Alligator mississippiensis: one gene and its partners. The protein of the gene in region 2 interacts with the protein of the main gene of each other region in a pairwise test. Links are inferred from orthologs where the notes say so. Each region holds a gene or a part of one and is shown on either strand. Other genes may lie near its edges. The genes, in order: FOS, CYTH4 and IPCEF1.

The links.
Region 1: the proteins of CYTH4 (region 2) and FOS interact in a two-hybrid assay, tested with the Homo sapiens proteins (2 studies listed by BioGRID and IntAct). The two-hybrid records come from large-scale screens. The link is inferred for Alligator mississippiensis from reciprocal best matches to the Homo sapiens genes CYTH4 and FOS.
Region 3: the proteins of CYTH4 (region 2) and IPCEF1 interact in binary tests that used the Homo sapiens proteins (3 or more experiments, as listed by UniProt). The link is inferred for Alligator mississippiensis from reciprocal best matches to the Homo sapiens genes CYTH4 and IPCEF1.

Annotation. Positions count from the first base shown.
Region 1 is NC_081825.1:261,360,832-261,367,856, reverse strand, and holds FOS (protein c-Fos), read right to left. Parts: upstream 3,060-7,025; 5' UTR 2,715-3,059; coding exon 2,577-2,714; intron 2,071-2,576; coding exon 1,825-2,070; intron 1,703-1,824; coding exon 1,595-1,702; intron 1,478-1,594; coding exon 854-1,477; 3' UTR 64-853; downstream 1-63. UniProt on the Homo sapiens protein: Nuclear phosphoprotein which forms a tight but non-covalently linked complex with the JUN/AP-1 transcription factor. In the heterodimer, FOS and JUN/AP-1 basic regions each seems to interact with symmetrical DNA half sites.
Region 2 is NC_081827.1:100,459,762-100,467,817, reverse strand, and holds the start of CYTH4 (cytohesin-4), read left to right. Parts: upstream 1-4,953; 5' UTR 4,954-5,615; coding exon 5,616-5,634; intron 5,635-8,056. UniProt on the Homo sapiens protein: Promotes guanine-nucleotide exchange on ARF1 and ARF5. Promotes the activation of ARF factors through replacement of GDP with GTP.
Region 3 is NC_081824.1:133,246,701-133,254,573, forward strand, and holds the start of IPCEF1 (interactor protein for cytohesin exchange factors 1), read right to left. Parts: upstream 3,064-7,873; 5' UTR 2,788-3,063; intron 2,560-2,787; exon of another isoform or gene 2,456-2,559; intron 1-2,455. UniProt on the Homo sapiens protein: Enhances the promotion of guanine-nucleotide exchange by PSCD2 on ARF6 in a concentration-dependent manner.

The DNA of each region.
Region 1 (7,025 bases), on a different chromosome or scaffold from region 2:
ACCAGTTTCACCACACTTTACAGTTAGAGAAGGACCAGAAAAGACTCCAGAGCAGCTCTCACATTTGACTTAAATGCTTTTTATTGACAACGTCTCTGAACAATAATAAGCAAACAATGCTTAAGAGTTTCATCCAAGTTCACTTTCCACATGTCCAAAAAAGACCTCAAGGTAGAAAAAAATAAAATAAAAATATAAATATCTGAGAATCCATCTTCATAAATAAATTAAAATGCACAATAAAAACGTTTTCATGGAAAACTTATGTCAGAACATTCAGACCACCTGGACAACGCATGATCAGTAAGAGAACAATGAATATTGATGTTGAGCTACAGTACATGGATATAGCCATTTATCTAATCTACTAGAAAATAAAGGAGAGTCTCTTTTTGCCCCCCCCCCCCCCCCCAGTTAAGATGGGTCATTGCTAAGTCATCAGAACACGATATTGCCAGGGACACAGTAGTTATTGTTAGATCAGCTGCACTAGATAACGAGTTGGAGAAACCCAGCACCAGGTTAAATTCCAAGTCATGAAACCAAGAGCTATTCATTAATTAATGCTAGTGATACTAAGGAGGGAAGGGGAGTCACCAACCCAGCCATGTTGGACATGCTACAGACTACCAGCTCTCATGGATGGGGCACTGGGGACAAGACGAACTCCATGCGATTGATTTGCTACATCTCTGGAAGAGGTGCGAGGCCTCCCCGAGCAGCACCCCGCAAGGTCCTGGAGCGCAGGTCCGGGCTGCCCCTGCCCAGCTGGGGTCGAGAAGGAGGCGGAAGCCCCCCTCAAGCAGCAGCAGCAGGGGGCTGGGATCCGGAGTCCGTGCCCTGGGCCCGGCTCTCACAAGGCCAGCAGCGTGGGGGAGCTGAGCGAGTCGGAGGAGGGCTCGTTGCTGCTGCTGCCCTTCCGGTGCGCGGCCGCACAGCTGGGGAAGGCGTCGGCCTCGGGGTAGGTGAAGACGAAGGTGGAGGTGTAGGCGCTGGGGCAGGGCGTGCAGGTCACCACGGGCGTGCAGAGCGGCTCCAGCTCCCCGCCAGCGCCGGCGCCCAGCGCCTCCCAGTCCGCCGCGTAGAAGGCCGAGGAGCCGGCCAGGTCCATGTCGGGCACTGAGCGGGCGGTCTCGCGGGACGAGTGCGGGAAAAGGAACTCGTCGAAGGGCTCGGCTTTCAGCTCCAGCCCGCTGGCCTTGGGCGGCTCGGCCGGGATCGGGGCCGGGGCTGGCTCAGGCATGAGCGGCAGGGCGAAGGCGGCCTCCTCGGGCTCGGCCTCGGCCTGCGGCGGGCTGGGCACTGGGCCCAGGTCCATGGAGGCAGCCGCCAGCTCCTCGGGGAAGCGCAGCTCATCGGGGATTTTGCAGGCAGGGCGGTGAGCGGCCAGGATGAACTCCAGCTTCTCCTTCTCCTTCAGCAGCCCCGCGATCTCGCTCTGCAGCGCTGACTTCTCCTCCTCCAGCTGGTCCGTCTCCTGCGGGGCAGAGCGTAGCGGGCTCAGGCGGCGCTCGGGAGCCGCGCCGTCGGGGCAGCGGAGCCCGGCAGGGCCGGGGGGGGGGGGGGGGGGGGGGAGAAGGCCGGAGCCACTTACCGCTTGCAGGGTGTCGGTCAGCTCCCGCCTGCGGTTGCGGCATTTGGCAGCTGCCATCTTGTTCCTTTCCCTCCGGATCCTCCGCTTCTCCTCCTCCTCGGGGGACAGCTGGGGAGAGGCACGAGCGCCCGTCAGTCCCGCTGCCAGCCCTGCCCGCAGCCTCCGGGAGAGCCGGGACCGCGCGCCCAGACCCCGTTAATCCCCCCCTCCACGGCCGCGCATTCATTCACCTGCTCGACTTTGCCCCTCCGGCCAATGCTTTGCCCTCTGCCTCCGGTGGCCTTGACGACCGGAGCCCTGGAGTAGGTGCTGGCGGGAGCAGCAGGGACGCCGTAGGGGTGAGCCCGTGTCTGCGACGGGGCCACGGACGAGATCAGGGTAGGCTGCACCAGCCACTGCAGGTCGGGGCTCGTGGAGATGGCGGTCACCGTGGGGACGAAGTTGGCGCTGGAGGCGGCGAGATCCGTGCAGAAGTCCTAGAGACAGGGGAGGAGAGAAGCGAGGGTGAGCCAGAGCCGCAGGGAGGCAGCGGGACTGAGCCCGCACCCCCCCAGCCCCAGCCCCTAGAGGCTCCCGAGCGGCCCCCGGGGCCAGGCTGGCTCGAGCGCTGCGCTGCCATCAGCAGACTCCACATGAAAAGGGGGTTGTTATAAATATCTCTGACGTCTGCACTGACGCAGGCGCCGCTCCGGAGTCTCCTCAATGAACTCCCGTTTTATCAATGAAACCGCTTTACACACCCGCCGCAGAGCGCACAGCGCAGCCCGGCCCGCGGTCCCACCCCCCCACTGACCTTCCCCAGGGCCGGGCAGCATTCCCATGCGGCCCCGTCCCGGGGCTGGGCTGCAGCGCTGTCCTCCCCAGTGCACCGGGCGGAGCAGGGCACCCCGGGCAGCTCACGCCCGTCCAGTCGGTGGTCCCCGCGCCCGCAGCTTCCCCCCCCCCGCCCGCCCCTCCCTTGCACCGCTGCCCCGGGGCTCACCGGGGGGTTGGCGGGCGATCCCATGCTGGAGAAGGAGTCCGCCGGTGAAGGGTAGTAGGAGAGGCTGTCCCCGGCCGGGGAAGCGCTGCTGCAGCGTGAGGAAGCCGCGTCATAGTCAGCGAAGCCCTGATACATCATGTCGGCGAGGCTAGGATTGTACAGAGCCCCCAAGTGCGTTGTGCCGACTGTGTCCGCGCTCGGCGTCCCTCGGGCTGCGGAGGGGGGGGGGGGGGCGTCTCTGCCGGCTACGCGTCTGCGCTCCGAGCCCGTCTCCCGTTCACTCTGCAGCGCTCAGCTGTGGAGTAAAGCTCGGCGCCTCCGCCCCTTTATAGTCAAGGCTGGTGAATGGTCTTACATCATGGGCGGAGCCAATCCGTTGGGCGGGGGAGCCGAGGACAAGCTGCCCTTGTGGCCTCCCCGGAGCCCCCGCGGGGCTTTCTCCTTTCTCGTGCACCCTCGACTCGTCTGTCGCGCTGTGTCACGGGGGTTTTCCCCGGGGTCTCTGGGGCTCTCGGCTCCTCAGGGGCGGACAGAACTTCGGATCCCCCCCGTCCGCTTTGGTACGGCCGGCTCGGGAACCCACTGACGCAGATATCCTTATATGGGATACATCCTGTGCAAGGGGGTGTGACTGACGGGAACCGCTCCAGGCTGCAGCCAAGTGCGGCTGGTTTGAGAGAGAGAGAGAGAGAGAGAGAGAGAGAGAGAGAGAGAGGCGGGGGTGGGGGGAGACAGGGAGGAGGAGAAGGGCAGCTGCAACAGCAGTGGCTGTGTTTGCACTTTGATCAGTGCGGTGCATGGCAACGCCAGGTCCCCTGCTGGGGGGATACCCAAGAGGGAGCTGCACTGCTGCAGTCAGACCCGACCCCCCCACCACCCCCAAGCCTCCCCAGAAGAATTCTGCTGCTTATAGAGACACCTTGCAGCTCTCACTCACCTTCCACAGCCAGGGAGAACTTCCTCGGCCCAGCTCCTCCCATCAGCTTCAACTGCTTTTTCACAGTTACTGCCACTATTTATTGGTGGTTTTGAATCGAAACCAGCTTGTCACTTTTCCACACATTTGAAAATAGCTCCCTGCCCAAAGAGTAGCTCCGTGGTCTCATCTGACAAAATGTGGAGGAAGGCTGGGAAGGGGAAATGCAGCATGAAGGCAAATGGGGTGACTTTTTTTACTCCTGTCAAAAAATATGGCATATTTTTTCATGTTATAGTAGCTTTCTTGCTGTCTGTGACAGTGGTTAGAGAAAAATAATCACCCTTATAGGGTTATAGAGTTATAGAGAAGTAAGGCTGGAAGGGGCCTCCAGAGTAGTCCAACCTCCTGTCTGACTGAGGCAAGATCATCGCTATCCAAACCATCCATAATCTAAACTCTACATAAGGCTACCCTCAACCCTGACACAACCAGACCTAACACCCCTTATGATTACTTAGTGGTTATTGTGTTCTGCTGGGGGAGACTTTTATAGCAGAGAGCTGAAACAGTTGCTGATGATTCAGGACAGGCTACTAGTTGTGTGTGTGTGTTGGTTTTGTGACAGTCTGACTTTTGCCCTGATTTCCCTCCCCCCTGTGTATTTAAGCAGGCAATGTTTTCTACTAAATACTTTTAAGAAATGGTACAGTATATCTCACATTTCATTTTGGAGGTGTTTAGGATTTAAAGTCATTAAATGCAGGCATTATAATGAGGCCATTAATGCTGTGCAGATTTATCGTAAATTAATTCAATTTCCTCCATCCATGTAACTATGTTGTGTTGTTTGGTTCTGCCTTCATAGAAAGTCTGGAAGATGTCTTCTGCCTACGTCTTCAAACACATGTATGACATCTAAAGTGTTGGAGAAAACGTGACATTTCTGGAGGGGAGGCTGCACAATTTTGTGTAGTGTCAACTTGTGACTGGGGAAACTTCATTTAATAAACTGCTCATATTTTATTTTCTTTCAACTTTATACCCACTGTAACTGTTGGGGAGTCCTAAATGCCTCTCACTCATTTTTGCTGTGCTGGGTGTGTCACTACATTCCTCCTCCAAGATACTCTGATCCCAGTTCAGTCTGAATCCTAATGATTAGATCGGGAGAGAAGCAGATTGCAAGGGGTAGTTTCAAGGGAGTGGAGATGAAGAGGCCAGTGATCATCACACCCCATGGTAACAAGGTGATCCTAGGAAAGAACAATGGTCACAGGTTGTGACTCAGTTTCCCTGATCCCTACTGAACTGGCCAAGGGCTCCTTATCTCAAAGGAATGGGTAGGAACACAGCAATCTGAACCTGAGCTGTATAAAACTCCCCCACACAAAGGCAGAGGGGTGGAAGTCTGGAACTTGCTTCAAGCCCTGAGGACTCATTCACTCGCCACCAGGTAGTGAGTGAGTATGTCTGTATATTCTCTGCTGTATGGAGCTGCTCTGGTTAATACTGTCTGATTAATGACATCCCAATAATTCCATATATAGTTTGGAGAAACTTCCTCTGGCTTCTCTTGTACTTCTCTAGATAAAATAAAAGCCCTCAGAGACATCCTGGGTATAACATAAAAGAGTGGTGTTATCTAGGGATTATTTGTGTTTAAGGCCTGATGTTAAGATCTATATAAATCAGTGGAAAAACTATTGAGTATAGCAGGGTTTGGATCAGCCCCATTCTGTGGGAGCGGTTCAGTCCACCCACAAAACTATCCCTTCACCTACACCCCTTAGAAGAGCAATGTGTAGTATCCACGCAAGCAGCAGCTCCAGTCTGTGTGAATGCAGGAGAAGCCAGATCATTTCCCCATTGAGTTCTATGTTTAAACCGATTTTCATTACACCCTAAAATCCAACAACCTAAGCTAAAAAAAAACAATAAAAACCCAGGAAGGTTTGCTGTGAGGGCAGGTGGGGATCACTCATGGAAGGCACGTGCACATTCCTTGTTAATAAATCTGGGTGGCTGGCACAGACGGTTTTCTCTGCACAGATCTGGCTGGGGTATGGCAGAAAGCACGTGTGGACAGAACCTGGAACTTACTCCACTTCCTGCGGGGGGAAGGAAATTACATTCAGGCATGATTACTTATGTTCTTACTATCTAGGCACAATAATAGCTGAGAGGGAAGACTCCAGTATAGGGCACTGGGGTAGGGGTTGGGGGGTGGAGTGCTACAGGCTGGGCTTCTCCAGGGAACTCCCCAGAAAGCTGAACGGGATCCGGGAAAGCGAAGGGACTTTGAGGACATGGCCAAGGAAACCTCTGTCCCCTCCCCTTTGTTTTGATCCTTGTTTGTTGCAGGGCAGGCCCAAGACACCCACCCACAGTGGGGATGTCAGGCAGGCCTGGCTCAGGTCAGGCTCAGCCGGGAGCCAGACCGCAGACTCGCCTTGCTGTGGAGCCAAGAGATCGCTATAGATAGTAACAGGGAAGCTGGTGTAGCGAGTCTGTTTACGGCAACAAACAGCCTACAGCACAGTCTCCAAGCAGAGTGTCACCACACTGGGCTGGATGGAGTCCTGCTGGCAGCCCTGCCACTGCCTGAGCTCATGGCTAAATGCAGCGCCTGATGCTGCTACGCGGTCACCTCCATTCTTAGAGATCTGGGCCACAAGGGTGGGGGAGCTGGGCCAGCTGCTATTCCTGAGCTGCCCGGCAGAGCAGAGGGGACAGCCAGCCACTGAGGAGAGATCCTTTCCCAAGGCAGCCAGGAGGCTTCCCTGAGCTAGGGCTGAGCTGCCTGGGTCCCAGGGGAGCTGGGCACCCCAGCCTCAGGGCTGTGAGAGCCTCGCAGTACTCTGCTTACCAGCCTTGGCAGTATCCACAGCTGGTTGGACTTTCTGAAGCCAGAGGTCACAGCTGGAGAAGCCCACAGAGTCCCATTTAGTCCAGCCCTGAGGCCCAAGACAGACCAGACCCTAGCAGAGCAGAGCAGAGCAGAGCAGGACTCCATTCCCATGTGTGAACCCCAGCAAAAAAAGATAGACCAAAGAAAACTCCAACCCAGAAACTACACCTTGATGGCACCAAGCTGAGCAGCCAGTGTCCATATGCCCTGCTATACCCTGCTGGTCTCCCTGCCTGACACCCCGTCCTTCCCAGAGGAAGGAGTATCCTCGGAGAACTCCATTCTTGCCAGGAGTCTCTGGCAGGCATCATGGGAGCTGCCTGCCTCGTGGCACTCAGTCAGGCCCAACTCTAAGTGCAGGTCTTCTGTGCTCAGAGGAGTCTTCACTTAGAGGAGTCTGGCACTCAGCACTGAGCTGCCTCTACAAACCATCAAGGAAGGTTCTAGAAACCATCGAGTCCATGTAGGTGAGTTCACAAAATATTTGTTGACATGTTTGTTTTGGTCGTGCACATGGAAGCCAGCCACCTGCTCTGTTTGCAGCAAACGGAAAATGTGCTGATGCTGCATGTATGTAGCATGTGCCGAGAAAGCCAAGGAAACAGAGAAACCGAAAACACAT
Region 2 (8,056 bases):
CCCAATAATGAGTACTCTCTTCCACGGTACTGTTACAAACCCTTTCTTTTCCAATTTATTATTTACTCATACATCTAGTTCCCACAATCCTTAAGTGGGAATAAACTCTCCACGGTAAGCTTTGAGTGGTATCTGTTTATCTCCTCCTATCGGTGCCTTTTTTTAGAATTGCTAACGGTGTTTCTCACAACTCCTTGACTTGTGAACCAGTGTCCAATTTAAAGGTAATAAGTGCCTTGTTTGCTTTCAGGTTTGTAGTCCCCTCATCTTGTGCTGCAGCCCTATCTACCACTCTTGTGAGAAATTCATATGAGCTAGAGAGGACACTCCTTTTGTCCATGCTGCATGTTCTTTGCTGGCCTACCATACTCTTGAAAAGGGCTGTAACCTGTTGCAGATTTTTTCCATCTCCTCCCATTTGCTGAGCATTGCTGTGGCTTGAGCAGGTTGCTGCAGCATGTTCAGTTCCTCATGCTGCTGTTCATGCTGGTCTCTGACTTTTGAGTTCCCTGTGTTTTTCTGCTTCACATCTCTTTTTTGTGGTATTTTGGAATCTCCATCATATTGCACTGTCCACACTCTGCACGCCTCATTCTGGACAAGGTGATTCCCATTCCTGGCAACCTTAAGCTCTTTGCTAGGAGTTCATTGTGGGCCTTCCAGGAATCCCTTTCTGATTTTTTTTTTTTTTTTGTTCAAAATCCCAATGTAGTTATCCCTGCAAAAATTGCAACAACTTTGGCCTCAGATTACCCCACTACAGTTTCACATTCCTGTTGTCCTCTCTGATAAAAGCCACATTGTTAGTATGTTTCTTTTTTACTTGGAGTACAGTAATCCTCAAATTTCTGCACTCCAGTTTCATAGTTAGGTCTCTGCCTGAGTTAATTGAAAACTATTAAGCACATCAAGGACCGTTGCCAAAAATAAGTCTTCCCCTTTACAGTCATCCACTGCTTCTGGGGCAGAGTAACGTGCTGTTTGAACTTCTTCCAGGGGCCTTCCACATTTCCAAAGACTATCAGCAATTTGGGACCAATAATATATATATTATCAACGTATTTTTTCCCTTTTGGTGCCATGTGGTGTTCAGGCATCACTCTGAGACAAAGCAGGTTGTGGCATCAGCTTTGTTTGTGGTCTCAGCTGCAGCTGCCTTATAAAAAATAGGCTCCTACACCCCCTCCCCAAACTTCCTGTCTTGGATGCCAAACCACATAAGGACACAATTTCCAGTGCCACACTCGCTAGTATGTGCTAGACGTCTAGCTGCATTATAAAGACACCACATGGTTCCACAAAACAGATGATCTTCTATCTTAGAGCTTAAGCCTGGAATAGTAGAACATACATAGAATTTCTCCCCTTGTAGGTAGTGGTCAATGTCCCTTTTTATATATTTTTGTTAAAATTTATGTCCATATAACCTGCTGTTGTGGTTCAGTGGTAAAACCCTTGTTCTGTCATGCAGGAGACCTGGGTTTGGTTTCCCAGATGTGCATGTAACTACAGTCATTGAGGTTCCAGATTTGGTCTGGCCTTTGGATACTGTCTAAAGGGGGATGGAAGGTCTAGACAGCTTCGACTTCTCCATACTCCTGCCTAGGTGTATGCATCAAAGGTCCTGATGACATCTCATGCGTACACCATGGTTTAGAAGGATTGACAGTTGTTTACTATTGCTATGCCTGTATAGAAGGGACGTGGTGATTAGTGAGCGCACCTGCTCTTTTGGGTTGGGTCAGGAGCCAGGAGTGCGTAGCAGAAGGTGCTGTAGAGCCAGAGTGAGGTGTATTGGCCAATAAGGCAGTGCGAAATTTTGCCACCAGTTTTGTTTTGACTCTGTTTCGACCTGTTTTGAGGTTGAAACAGCAACATCAAAATGAAACAGATACGGCCAAAACAGCTTTGAAATGAAATGAGGCAAGTCAAAACGTTTTGCTGTTTCGATGCTGTTTCAACGTTTCGCCCATAGGCTATAATGGGGAAGGTCAAAACAGCCTATAGTTTTGCCATGTCTAGCCAGATTTGGATAAAACTTGCAGAAATGGTAGCTTCTTCTGAGGGCATAAAGAGTTCCAAGTTTCAAGAAGATAGGTGCAGGGAGATTGGAGAAACTGCACCCCAAAATCCTGAGCCAAATGTGTCCTCTGTATGTGTTAAGCCACAGGAGGGTCAAAACTACAGGAATGCTAGCCCCTGCTGAGGCCAGAAAGCCTGCTGTGTTTCAAGGAGATAGGTGCAGGGGGTTCAGAGAAACTGCACCCCTAAATCCTGAAAGCAAAACTCATGTCACATGTATATGTTAAGCCACAGCAGGGTCAAAACTGCAGGCTTGCTAGCCCCTGCTGAGGCCACAAAGCCTGCCAAGTTTCAAGGAGATAAGTGCAGGGGTTTGGGGGAAGCTGTAACTCAAAGCTGCAGACAAGCAAAACTCGTGACATGGGTGACACTGTGTGTGTTAGGGCACAGCAGGGTGAAAGCTGCAGGGGTGGTAGCCCCTGCTGCAGCCACGACACCTGCCAGCTGTCAAGGAAATCAGTGCAGGGGGTTTCTGGGGCCCTGCACCTCTAGCTGCTGACAGGCAAAACTTGTGAAATGGGTGCTTGTGCAACTGACTGAGTCTGTCTTGGGGCCGTTGATTGTATGTATTGATTATTTCCTCTCCTTAGTCTGTGGTTTTGTAGGTGTTAATCCATGCTTGTTAAGTTGTTATGTAGTAGCTAGGTCCTGTGTATTGAGCTAGTCCCTGAGTGAATCATGATTAATTGGTAACTGGTAACACAGTAGCTTAGCAGCCAGGCCTGCAGTAGTCCCTCCCCCACCCTCCAGTGCCCGAAGACAGACACAGGTGCACAAGCACCCATGTCACGAGTTTTGCTTATCCACAGCTTGAGGTGCAGTTTTCCCTAAAGCCCTGCACTTATCACAGGGGTGGGCAATTATTTTGGGCAGAGGGCCACTTACTGAGTTTTGGCAAGCCATCAAGGGCTATATGACAGGCAGCTCAGGGCAGATTAATATTAATTTTCTAAATTTTTTAGGGGCCCTGCAGGCCAGATAGAATGGCCTGGCGGGCTGCATCCGGACCCCAGGCCACATTTTGCCCACCTCTGACTTATCTTCTTGAAATCTGCCATGTTCTGTGGCCTGAGCAGGGGCCACCACCCCTGCAGTTTTCAGCCCGCTGTGCCTTAACACACATAGGGTTATCTATATCACGAGTTTTGCCTGTCAGCAGCTTGAGGTGCAGTTTCCCCCAAGCCCCTGCACCTATCACCTTGAAACTTGGCAGGATTTGTGGCCTTACCAGGGGCTACCACCCCTACAGTTTTGACTCCACTGTGGCTTAACACATACATGTGACATGAGCTTTCCTTTCAAGAATTTGGGGTGCAGTTTTCCCCAAAGCCCTGCACCAATCTTCTTAAAACTTAGCAGGCTCTGTAGTCTCAGAAGGGGCTAGCAAGCCTGCAGTTTTGACCCCGCTGTGTCTTAACACATACACATGACACAAGTTTTACTTTCAGGATTTTGGGGTGCATTTTCTCTGAACCCCATGTACCTATCTTCTTGAAACTTAGCATGCGTCATGCCCTCAGAAGATACTACTATTCTTGCAAGTTTCATCCAAATCTGGCCAGAAATCACAAAATTGTAGCCTGTTTCAACCTTCCCCATTATATCCTATGGGCGAAACATCGAAACAGGGTCAAAACAGCAAAACGTTTCGACGGAACGAAATGGAACTGCCATTTCAACTCAAAATAAAAGTCAAAATGAAACACTGTTCTGTCAAAACATTGGTCAAGATGAAATGTTTCTGCTTCACACAGCCCTATTGGCCAATATGTCAAGACTGGAATAACAATGGGTGCTACATGCCACAATTGAAATGCATCAGGGTGGGGTATCCAGTCCTGGGGTGGCGTGGTATGGTTTCCTGAAAGTGAGCAGTGAATTCTTCAGTAGAGCTGTGTTGGGATCACGGTACTGGAACAGTAAGCTGTACACCAGGACAAAGACAGGGAAATGTGTGAGATACAGGTTTGGAGAGTGAGGGATTCAGTCGGTATAAATGAGGTCTGTCAGCAGAGCTCTCTATATGACTGGATTGATGGAGAAATCAGGAGGTCAAGACTGATCAGTGCATTGCTTGATCTATATGGGTCCCCTGCAGGGTTGTTCTGTTGGATCTCCTCTCACCTGAGGGACCTATAAATGGTAGCTTACACTGGACAACGTTTTTCACCCCCCTCCGAAAGGAAATTTGTAGCCATCTTCCTTGCAAGACAACCTTGACTATGGAATCTGAAGGGTGAAGACTGGTTGCTGATTCATCCTAAAGACCACAAGCTATTCACAGTCTTCCCTAGGGCTGCCTGGCTATGGTCTTCAGGATGCCAGTCACTCACAATCATAGAGTGTTTGATTCTTGGCAGGATGCCAGGCCAGTGTTAGGTTTAGAGGCGGTGGTTATACCATCTTGCTGTGTTGTTGACGGTGTTGGGAGGCTAAACTGGAATGGCCCAGAATGATACAGAGCAGGGTGCTGCTGCATTGTCAAAGCAGTGGGAGTCTTGCCAGGCCCATGCCCATTGGGCATGGAAAAGTGGCATCCTCTCAACATTTGCAGCTGTAATTTGGACAAGGGGAAAGCTTTGTGCCCAGACAGCCATACTCCTCATGTGCTAGATTTTTCTTAGTCTGTGCTGATTCTTTGCCCTGCTGATTTGGAAAGGGGGATCTCAAGGTGTGCACGCCAGCTGCTGAGCTTTCTGTGTGGGCATGAAGGCCCCTCCTGCAGAAGTTATGAGGGCTGTCACGTACAAAAGACCACGGACATAGCAACCAAGAGTGATTAGCTTAAGGGGAAGTGTGCAGCCTTCCGGGGCTGGAGAGAGAGGAAGAGAGTAAGTGACAGAGAGACTGACTGCTCTGCCAGCTAAAGCCCTCTATTTTTCATCAGAGCAGACATAGCTCGGGTCAGGTCAGTGCCAGCTCCCTCCATACTGGGACACTCCCTCCATACTGGGACAACTCTAGGCTCGATCCACTCCTTCCTGATGATGCTAGTCAGAAGAGAACGCATTTGAGATGGGAGTAAAGGATCCAGGTCATGTCATTTCATTGGCAACAGGAACCTACTGGAGGCCCACACAAATATTGGAATATTCATCCACTCTCTACCAATTGCTGAGCTACTTTGAGTTGTGGTAGGGGGGGAGTCTTTCTCCATCATAAAACCACACCCTAAGGCAGCTGTTTTATGCTCCCTCTGTCTCTAGAGCAGGCTGGATAAAACCAGAGCACAGTCACCCCCAGCAATGAGCTGAGCGAGTGCCAATGGAAAGACACACTGGCTTTCTCTTGTGGGTTTTTATGTAAGAAGTAACCGGAGTCTGCGTGCTTCTAACAGTCGGAGCTTGTAGTTTCCCTCACCCATATGAGCTTGTGGGGAGGAACCAGGGGGTGGAGCCGCAGCTCCTCCAGCTGACACAATTTTAGACTCTGGGGTGAAGTCGCATTAATTCTGCCAGACGCCTGAAAGAGCAGCGGGGAAAGAGGAACTCGCAGTCGCACAAAGAGAATTTGCCTCTGAGTGACATTTCAGCATGGATGTTTGTCCCATTGGTAAGTCTTTCCTTAAAGAGATTTGGCCACATCTTCTCCCTGCCTTGTTGATCAAAGTGCTGCTCATTCTGTAAATGCTGTCAGGTCAGATTGACTCAATTAGGGCTAGCAGCTGCCATGGGGATGGGACGGGTGAACATAGCCAAGAGGTTTCTTAGAAGCTCTGCAAAGGGCTTGTAGTTTTGTGGACGATGTGCTATAGGGAGAGGTGTCTTCTCTGTCGAGGTATTGGCTTCCCCCCCTACCTCCAGACAGTTCCTCCCTGACGTCAACCAGTGTCACCCTACCGACTTGAATTGGAGCTGGGTCAGAACTGTATTCAGAGGCTGACCCTCAGCCTAGGTAGGTGGCAAAAGGGTAGAGTGCAATTTTCCTGGCCCAAGCTAGGGTATCAGGAGTACGTGGCACTTGGGATGGTGGTCAACATGTGACTACAGACAATGGTTTCCTTTGATGTAGCCTCAGCGTGACAGGAATAGAGGTGCAGAAAGAGCAGACTGCAAATGCTACAACATAGTCCTCCTGCACCAGGCAGGGCTGATTCACCCTTGCACTGCACCCAGCATAGTCATTTCTACCAGGATCAGACCAGTGGACAGTGGCTGTAAATTACCAGTGTCTTCATGTGGTGCAAATCTGCACCGACTGTGCATTGCAAGTGACTACCTGGGGCACAGTAATAATAAATCAGCCCCCCAGAGAGGAGGGTTGTTAGCACCTGATGAAGCAGTCTGTTGCTGACAAATGCTTGTGCTTCTTTGAACCAGTCACTCTCTAGGACAGTGGTTCTGAACCTTTTTAGATTCAAGGACCCCTCAGAAAATGCCAGCTTTGAGCTTTCACTTGTTTTTTAACTACAGAAAAATAATAGAGCAATTCTTCTGTTGCAAAGAACTCAGGAAAACCACAATAGGTCAAAATATCTGTGACACTATGGATTCCTATTTTAAAATCTCTCTGCTCATCCTGTGAAGGTTTTTGCACACCTAACAGTGCTAATATTACATGGCACTGCAGGACACCCTTAAAAGTATATTGCAGTGCTCTGGTTGAGAAACACCAACCTGAAGTGCCACCCTGCCCTGCCTCTACCTGACTTTAGGATAGCACAGCTAAATACTTTTCCACCTGCCCCCACCCCCACCCCAAGAGAAGAAGAAAGATTGATCAGCCTGAATCTCTCGCTTTCCTTGCAGCAGTTGTTTTAGAGGGGTATAGAGAGGCAGAAGTAGGTGGGAGGAAATTAGCCACAAACCCAGGGGCTGAGAAAGATCAAAACTCTTTGATTTCCTGGTTTGCTGGGTGCAGTGCAGCAGACCTGGGATCTAGTAGACAAAGGTGCTCTGGAGGCAATCCCAAAAGGCAGATATTGGGTGTGACCCATGCTGAGAAAGGACATGAGGTTTCAAGGGAGAGGACACACTTTCTCCAGGGGGAAAAATACAAAGGATCTTAACACAAGGACACAGCTGCCATCTGTCTCTGATATCACCTCACATCCACATAGATGGCATAGCTAAGGCCATGAACAAGGAGTGGGAGCTGAAAACCCTCTGGTCCCCACGTCAAATCCTGCACCAAGGGGCCCGATTTCCTTGAAGTTCTCTCAAGCTGTTGCAAGAGAGGCTGGGCACTGAGCGCTTCTCAGTCTCTGGCCACTTCCTTTAGCTGTCTAAAGGGGACTAGAGTTCTTAGGAAAATCAGGCCCTTAGTGCCTGAAAGGAAGTGTTGCAACCAGCTCATAGACTAGCAAAACCAGGGCAGGGAGAGCCCTCACCTCTCTGTACAAAGCAGGGACATATTTTTTTCAGGTTAGTTGTTCAAGGAAAACGTGGCTCTCCAAATGCATTGTCTGCCATGTAAGGGAAGTTGTCCTACTTTTGTGAATAGACAGAATGAGTTCTTTTTACCATTTGGGATTTGTCCTGGAGTGGTGCCCCAGTATCCTGTGATGTTAGGCGCTGTACAAACACAGAACGAGATGATGGACCAGTTGCAGAAGACCTACTTTGAAGCAGTGCAAAAATGCCTAGCTACCCCAGGACCACAGCTAGCCAGCACCACTTCAAAAGCCAGCCTCACTCTCTGTGTCAGAGGCATTGTCTAGGGATCAAGAGATTACATTGATTTGGTGGCTCATTCAGTGATAAAAGCTTGCTGATCCGTAGTTTTTGGAGAAATTGTTCTGCCACCAGTGGGCCTCAGCTTCCATCAGAGTCCATGGCTGAGGTGGAAAGGTAGACACATTCACCTGTGCTGTGGACTTACACTGGGTGTGCTGCTATACAAGAGAACTGTATGCAGATGGAGACGTTGGTTCCGTTAGGTGAGGGAGAGTCAGCTTCTATGCCGGAGCAGGGGGGAACGGATGGGCTAGGTTCAAAATGCTGGCAAGGCTTGGAGCGGCATCCATGCCGGAGTA
Region 3 (7,873 bases), on a different chromosome or scaffold from region 2:
GAGACAAGACAAAGGACAGTGGCTAACGGCTCTTTGGAGCTAATCAACAGGTAGCTGGTAACGTTCCTCCATTCCTTCCTTGGAAAAAGTTGTTTAAGAAGAGCTTGAAAAATTGAGAGATCTTTTTGTTTTTACTAATGAGGTGATAACTGCTGTGTAAGCCCCTGCTGGCTCCCTTGCTGACCAGCAAGAAGGGGTGGGGAACCCTCCTTAATCAGAGCATCCTGCCTCAGCTCAGTACTGTGGAATGAAAGGGAGGGCTGCTCTAGTGCCCCCCAGCTTCTAGCCGGAGCCACTGCAGGCATGTGCCTGCATTTTTTCAATCCAGAGGGGATGTCTGTGTGGTTACATGATTCAGCCTAGGCTGGTTAGACTAACCTGCAAAGATCGAATCAATTCAGGCTCAGGCTTTTTGAATGTCTGTCCCTAGCCCTCATGTCCAGAAACAGAGGCTTTCTTATAAAATTTTTCATCTGCTCAAATTTCTGGACCAAATTCATCTTAGATGCATTTGTACATCAAGCTCCTTTAGTCTGAAGGCTTTACCTGTCCTCAGAAAGAGTCTTTGTGTAATACATTCCTATTATCCTGCATGTTCACTCCCTTAGAGATTCTAAACAGGAAACTGAAAACAAAAGCTAGCGTTTCTCTAGCAGTTCTGAGGTCAGGGATTGAGAGGAAATCTGGGTTCTCCTGACAAAAAAGCTTACAGGGAACTTCCACAAGGTGGCAGCACCTAAGAACATTATGCTGCTGTTAAGTTAATCTTTTACATTGCTGTATTCATGGGAGTAAAAGGTCAGTAACGATGCTCTGCTGGAAGGCAGCAGCATGCTCCAGTTAAATGCAAATAGCTACATGCCAGTGTTGCTACACAAAACTGCTTACTTAATAAATGCACCCCGTGTATGCATAAATACACTGAGCACATATTGCATAGTAGTATATTTTTGAAGCAAATAGAATTTTTTCTAGACCTATCTTTGGATCATCTGCCTTAAGTATTCAAAAAGAGCAATTCTCTAGGATTTATCTGTAGCCTGACCCCATATAACAAATGTAAAGCATTACACAACATCACCTCTTCTAGCTGTGATGTGTTTAGCTATTAACTACTTTCTAAACCGTGAAGGATTTATAGCATACACATAAGTCCTGTTTTATTCAGTGTGTTATAGCAGGAATGACTACCATTAAAAATATTACTCATGATGTGACAGGTGGTTCAGTGACCCACCTGAGCCAAAGGAGAGATTGGGTGGACCTACTACTGTCAGGCAGAGTTCAAACTACAGAGAACTTTTATCAAGATGCTCCCTTGCCTGGTCTCTGCTCTGAATGCCAAAAGGGTCAGGATAACAGGTACTGCTATTAATACATAAAGGGAGTTAGAAAATAGCTTTTGTATATGTTCCCATCCACTGTGGGTGGCCAGACCTTGTTAGAAGCTGGTTAAGATGGAAGAGTGTTGAGTTATATAATGTTTTAAAAGTTATTATTGGTGTTACGCAAAATTATCAAGAGAGTAGTAGTTATAACCAGCTCTAAATTCCCTGAATAATATTCAAGTTAAGCATTTAATAATCTTTCCTAGTTCTACCCTACAATATACACAGGAGCTATGAATAAAATCAAACATGCCTAAATATATACTCATCTTAAGAGCCTGGAGAGGGGAGGGGAGGGGGGGAATGAAAAAAGTGTCACAAAAATCAAAGGTCCTGGCTAAATAAATATAAAGATCATATATCAGCATAATGTAAGCAATTGTAATCTACTACAGTGGCACTCAATCCTTTGCCCCCACCAGCCAGTTGAGAGGTGTCGGCCCAGTCTCTGGGCCAGATCAGACCCCATGTGCCAGGATTGGGCTCTGAGGGTGCCATCCCACCTCTGCCTGGTCCCACACGTTGGGATCAGGCTCTAGGAGCCCTGTGCCATCTCCATCCATTCCCATGTATGGGTATTGTGCTCCAGGGGCTCTGCACTGCCCCTGCCTGACCCTGCACACCAGGATCAGGTCCTGTACTACCCCACAGGCCCAATCTAGTGCGCAGAGTCACGGCCCATGGATGACATTGCACTGGAGGCTGGATAGGGACATGAGATGGGGGCTGAACACCACTAATCTAATACAAAGCTCCATCTCCTATAGATCTCAACTTCTGCAGTAGTGGAGTTGACAATCTAGGGAACTCATTTAGCCCCAAAACATAGCACAGCTAAGGTGTGGAATAGTGACATCAAACTACAAATCACAAACCTCTCTTATACAACTGCCCAATATCACAAATCAAACTAAGCATGCCCATCTGACAGAAAAAGAAACACAGGAGAACTATATTGTTAAGAAAAATACCAAGCAAAAAACCAGTAAATATCCAGGGAGAAAAAAGTATACAAGAATCTTAGAGATGCTAGAAATGTATTTTAAGAATTAACAGATTCTACCAACCTCTACAACAGCACTTTATAAAGTAGTGATCACTGTCACTGCCAAAAAAACAAAGGAAAGATACCAATGCAATTGCCCTTATGCAACAAAATGATGGTATGAAGTCAGCAGCACGTTACAGTCTCACTAAATAGAGAGCAATCCCACCCTATTCCCCCTTAGTAATACTTTATGGGTTCTTAACCTCAGGTGTTCTCCATAAAGTAGGAGCCTGACCAAGAAATTAGCTTTTTGTTTGCATTGGAGGTCAGTCAGAGACCTTTGCAGGATCAGAACTTAAGTGGTTGGCATTGACTTGACATATAGAATTTTGGCACTAAAAATTGAGGTACCTTTGTGATGAAGGACAGTCCAGTTGCTAGACTTCTATCTAAGTACCCAGGGATGCCGCTTTTCTTGCCTTCTCCATCACAGACTGCCTCTTGAAACACTGAACAAGCCACTTAGTTTCTCTTTGGCTAAATTTTCCCTAAGATGGGGATATTAACACTTCCCTGCATCATCTATAGATACCATGAAGATAACCTGTTACAGACAGCCAAACTGTTGAGAGGCTATAATTTGGAGGCCCACACAAGCACCTTAATCAGTTAGATAGCCATTCTACAGTCATATTCAGTCAATGGCAGAGTCTACTTCCTGACTAGCAGAGTAAGTGGGGAAATTTAAAGAGAAAAGGGCATGCTACAGAACTATGGTGTGTCACGTGTAAAGGTTTATCAGGTGTTCTTAACAGGTAACAACTTTAAGAAGGGCGAAGGCTCTGGAAGGAGCTGTGTCAGCAAGATGGGAAGCACCTGATGGGGCTTAACCAGGAGATAAGCCCAAGGCCAGAGCTGGGGTAGGCAGTCTCATCCTAGCTGCTGACATCCTGGCCCTGAGCAAGCAGCAGAGGGAGACTCTACTCTCCCAGGGGTTAACAGAAGGCAGCCTTAGAGCTGACATAGGGTCAGAGATATGCAGACACAGGGTGCTGCGATGCCCCTGAAGAGAGACACTTATTGAATGGGACACAGAGCATGATTAGCAACATCTGTGAGGCATGGGCATGGTGTAAGGGTCAATTGGAGTCATGTACTGCACTCAGTAGTGACACCTGAACAGTAGCATGGGATCAGGGATCTCTGGGGCAGTCTCCCTTTCCAAGGATGGAAACAACCTTGGAACAAGGCATGGCAGGTGAGGTGAAGGGGAGCAAGCCTGAGAAGCAAGAGCAGAGCAGGGGCCAAGCAGCCACCAGTGTTAGGGACAGACATTCAAAAAGCCAGAGCCTGAATTGATTCAATCTTCGCAGGTTAATCTAACCTGCCTAGACTGAACTGTTCTGCAAGTGAATAGATACTCAGGAAATACAGGCACATGCCTGCAGTGGCTTAAGCCAGAAGCTGGGGGCGGTGCTAGAGAGCACCCTCAGCTGCAGGGAAGCTGTGCTGGGGTGGGGGGAGGAAGAAGAGGGGGGACATGGACAACCCTGGCAGTAGCTTCAGGGGATCTGGCCAGGGAGGGGGTTTAATTCTCCACTCCTGCCCCATCAGCACAGACCCAAGCTGGGGTCCACCTGGCACTCCCCTCTCACTTTTGCAGTGGTGGAGGCAGGGGCAGGGCCAGACACTGGTCAGCATAGCCCTCTGAGGCAGAGGGAACAAGAAGGGGGTTTATTCCCTACCTCCACCCCCTTGGGACCACAGCCAGGGTCTGTCCACCCCGACTGCTGCTGATCACTCCCTGTGTGGGGCGAGCAGTAGAATAAGCCCCCTCCCTACCCCCTCCACCCGATGCCAGAGGGAGGGGAGAAATAATCCCCCTCCCTTCCCCCTCATCTAAGGGGGCCATGCCAGCTGGCCTCTAGCTGTACCCCAGCCCCTGCTGCTGGAGTGGCAATGGGGAGTGACCCTGGCAGGATAGCAGCCCCTCTCATGGTTTCCTGGGACATCAAGGCTCTTCCCAGCTGGGGCCTATGCTTCAGGCGGCGGCAGGTAGAGCAGGGCAGGCAGAGCTGCCACAGACTGGGTGGGGTAAGCACCGGCACCGGGGCTCAGAGGGGTGGCAATAGCCCCCCAAGGCCTCCCACACACTACTGCCACTTGCCCCATGCAGTCTGCAGCAGCTCTGACCGCCCTGCACCACAGCGTCCCCCACCAGGAAGAAGCTTTCACTCCCTGGGAAACCATAAAAGGGGTTCTTGCCCCCATCACAGTCCCTGCCCCTTTGCCACTCCAGCAGCAGGGGTGGCGGCATGGCCAGAGGCCGGCCAGCATGGCCCCTTCAGGCAAGAGTGCAGGGAGCGGGTTATTTACCCCCTCCCTCTGGCATCTCATAGAGAAGGCAGGGAGGGGGCTTATCCCACCATTTGCCGCATGCAGGCAGTTGGGGCAGGCAGACCCTGGCTGCAGTCCCCCAGGGACAGAGGGGCTGGAAGGGAAATAAAACCCCTTCCTGGTCCCTCTGCCTCAGGGGGCCAGGCTGGCCGGCATCTGGCCATGCCCCCACCTCTGCAGCAGCAAGTGGGGAGTGCCAGGTGGACCCTGGCCCAAGTCTATGCTGGTGGGACAGGGAGGGGGGAAATTAAATTCCTCTCCCTGCCAGTTCATTTGAGGCTACTGCTGGGGCTGGACACATCCCCACCACTGGAGCAGCAAATGGAAAAATGCCGGTCAGGGTCTGCTGAGCTCCTGCCTGTTAGACCCTGCTGGGGTCCATGATAGTAGGACAGGGGAGGGACAGAGGGAAAAACCTTTTCCCTGACCCCTTTGCCTTAGTGGGGCCAGCGTCTAGCCATGCCCCTGCCCCTGTCCACCGCTGTTCCAGCTAGGGAGCAGAGAGCACAGCCTCACACAGGGCTACAAAGCATGTCAGGATGCTGGGGGACTCTGGTTTAAGTTAAACCAGCTTGAGCTCAACCAGTTAAGTCTGATACGACATTCAACCAGGTTTATATTAAACCATTCTCAGCCATTTTGAAGGTGGTTTATGTGCACTGAACTTACGTTGTGTTACAAGTTTAAACCAGTTTCTGGTCACTTGAACCGGTTTATGTGTAACTTCTGTGCCTAGCCCAGGGGACATTGTGGTCACCCCTAGGAACAGTGCTTTGGTACAAAAGGCTAAACCCTTCCCCCACTACCCCACCTAAAATAGCTCATTAGCCTGAAGACTTCTACGATCAACTTCTCATAGAAGTTCCCATCCAGTGGCTATTCAAATAATACTTTGCCTCTCCATTCAGATCTCAGAGCTCATCAGGAGAAGATGACAGAATCCATGTGCAAAGAACTTATGTAAGGAAAAAGTAGGGTTTCTTGCCATGACCTTCCTTGTTGGGCAACACACCCATCTCCCCCCACTCCCCTTCCCCACCCCAAATCCAGGAATATTCCCATTTATTGTAAATTCCTCTGCCACAAAACCTCTTTGAACATGAATGGTGTTTTATCTATCTATTCAATACTACCACAGAGAAAAAACTTCTTCCACTTTCTAAAAGGATTTTATTTTACCTGCTGTCCTTTCTCCAATTTTACCCAGGAAATATTTGGATTTGTGAAGCAACTACTTGGTGGCAACTGCTATTGGTCCCCTCCCCCACTGGCCCATTTGAAACTCATTTGAAGACTCAAATGTGTCAATCAGTAACCAGGAGAAGCAGAAACAAGAACAGAGCTATGACATAGGCTAGGAATGGATGGGAGGACTGAGATAGCTAGACATAGCCTTACTAGCTTTACACTGTAAAAAGCCATGTATTACAAATACTCTGAGTTTTTACTGACCATTTAAAAACTTCTGACAGCAAATGGCCTCGGAGATTTTACAAATAATTAATCTTTGCCTGAACTGCTGAAATTTACCATGGAAAGTGAAGTTTCTTCATGCCCCTTTCCCACTGCAGTACCATTAAATATTTATATTATCACCTGAAGCCTTCAGCCAGGATCAGGGTCTCATTCTGCTGAATAAACAATAGAAGACATGATCTTGCCTCAAAGAACTGACAAAAGCAAGCTTGAAAGGGCAAGTGAGTGGATATTTGTTTTGTGTAACTTATGGCCCTGTAACGATGATGGGTGAATCCTGTCCATACATACCTGAACCAAGCCATTTTAGGCCTCTGCCAAAATGATGATTAACTGAACTCTAGAGTATTTAATAAAATTGATTATTTTTGCATGTATCATTAAAGACAGGACTCAGACTCAAAGTGGGGAGAGTTGTTTAAAGTTGTGTAAAGCCCCTGCTTATAATCTTGTATCTTTCAATTAGAGCCAAGAAAACTGGTTTTCAATTTCTTTTCTTCTGTGATCTGCCACAAATAGCAAACTCCCCCTCCTCCTCCTCCCCCGCTCCAGTCTTCCCAGTTGGTATTGTTTATGTGGACATACAACCATGGCAAATTCCAGAGCTATATTTTGTGGCTTTCTGACTCGAGGATCATTCTGAAGTAGTTCTCATTGGCTATTCTTCCAGCTAAATATTTACACACACATATACACTGAGCATAACTTTTACTTATGTGCATGGGCAAAAGCTCAGCATATTTCACATAATTTTTTAGAGGCTACATGTGTTTCACATCATGACAACATGTTGAAAATATGTGCCTACAAAACACATTTTAAATGTATTTATACAAAACACTGTGTGCTTATGCTGGAGGTGTTTGCTATATATAGAAAAACCAAAGATTAGATTTCCTGTTCTCATTCCTTTCCTTCACAATCCTGTCTCATTATTAATCATTTTCAGGCTCTTGTTATGGCTTATTTGTACATTAAATTTAAGTGAGATAATGTTTATGTTTAAAAAAGAGCATAAGGAAGCAAAAAAACAATTGATGTGGTAGTAGCCCCTGAGCAAGCAGCAGAGGGAGATGTTTCACCCAATTCACTTTTAAAATGTGACCTCCTGCTCCATATATAAGGACCTATCAATTAAAAGGCCATTTCTGATAGAACCTGAAAGCATAGCTGAAACAATTAGAGTGAAGAATGATTATTAAATGCATTTGTGGTGGGTTTAAAATCTTTTTTTTAAAACAAGTTGTTTCATAGTTGGTAGGGTCGGAAAGGACCTAAGCAGATCATCTAGTCCGACCCCCTGCCATGGGCAGGAAAGGATCCTGGGGTCAAATGACCCCAGCTAGGTAGCTGTCTAGCCTCCTTTTGAAGACCCCCAGGGTAGGAGCCATCACCACTTCCCTTGGAAGTTGGTTCCAGCTCCTAGTCACCCTGACTATGAAGTAGCGCCTCCTGATGTCTAGTCTGAGACTAGAAATGTGACTAGAAATAAATAATGTGACCTTCTCCTCACATACTGGAATAGTGTTATAACCTGATGCAGTCACAATTCAGTTCCTCAGCTTTTTAAAATTTGGTTGATTTGGCTGTTGCTTTTGCTTTATGAAAAAAACCATAAGGGATC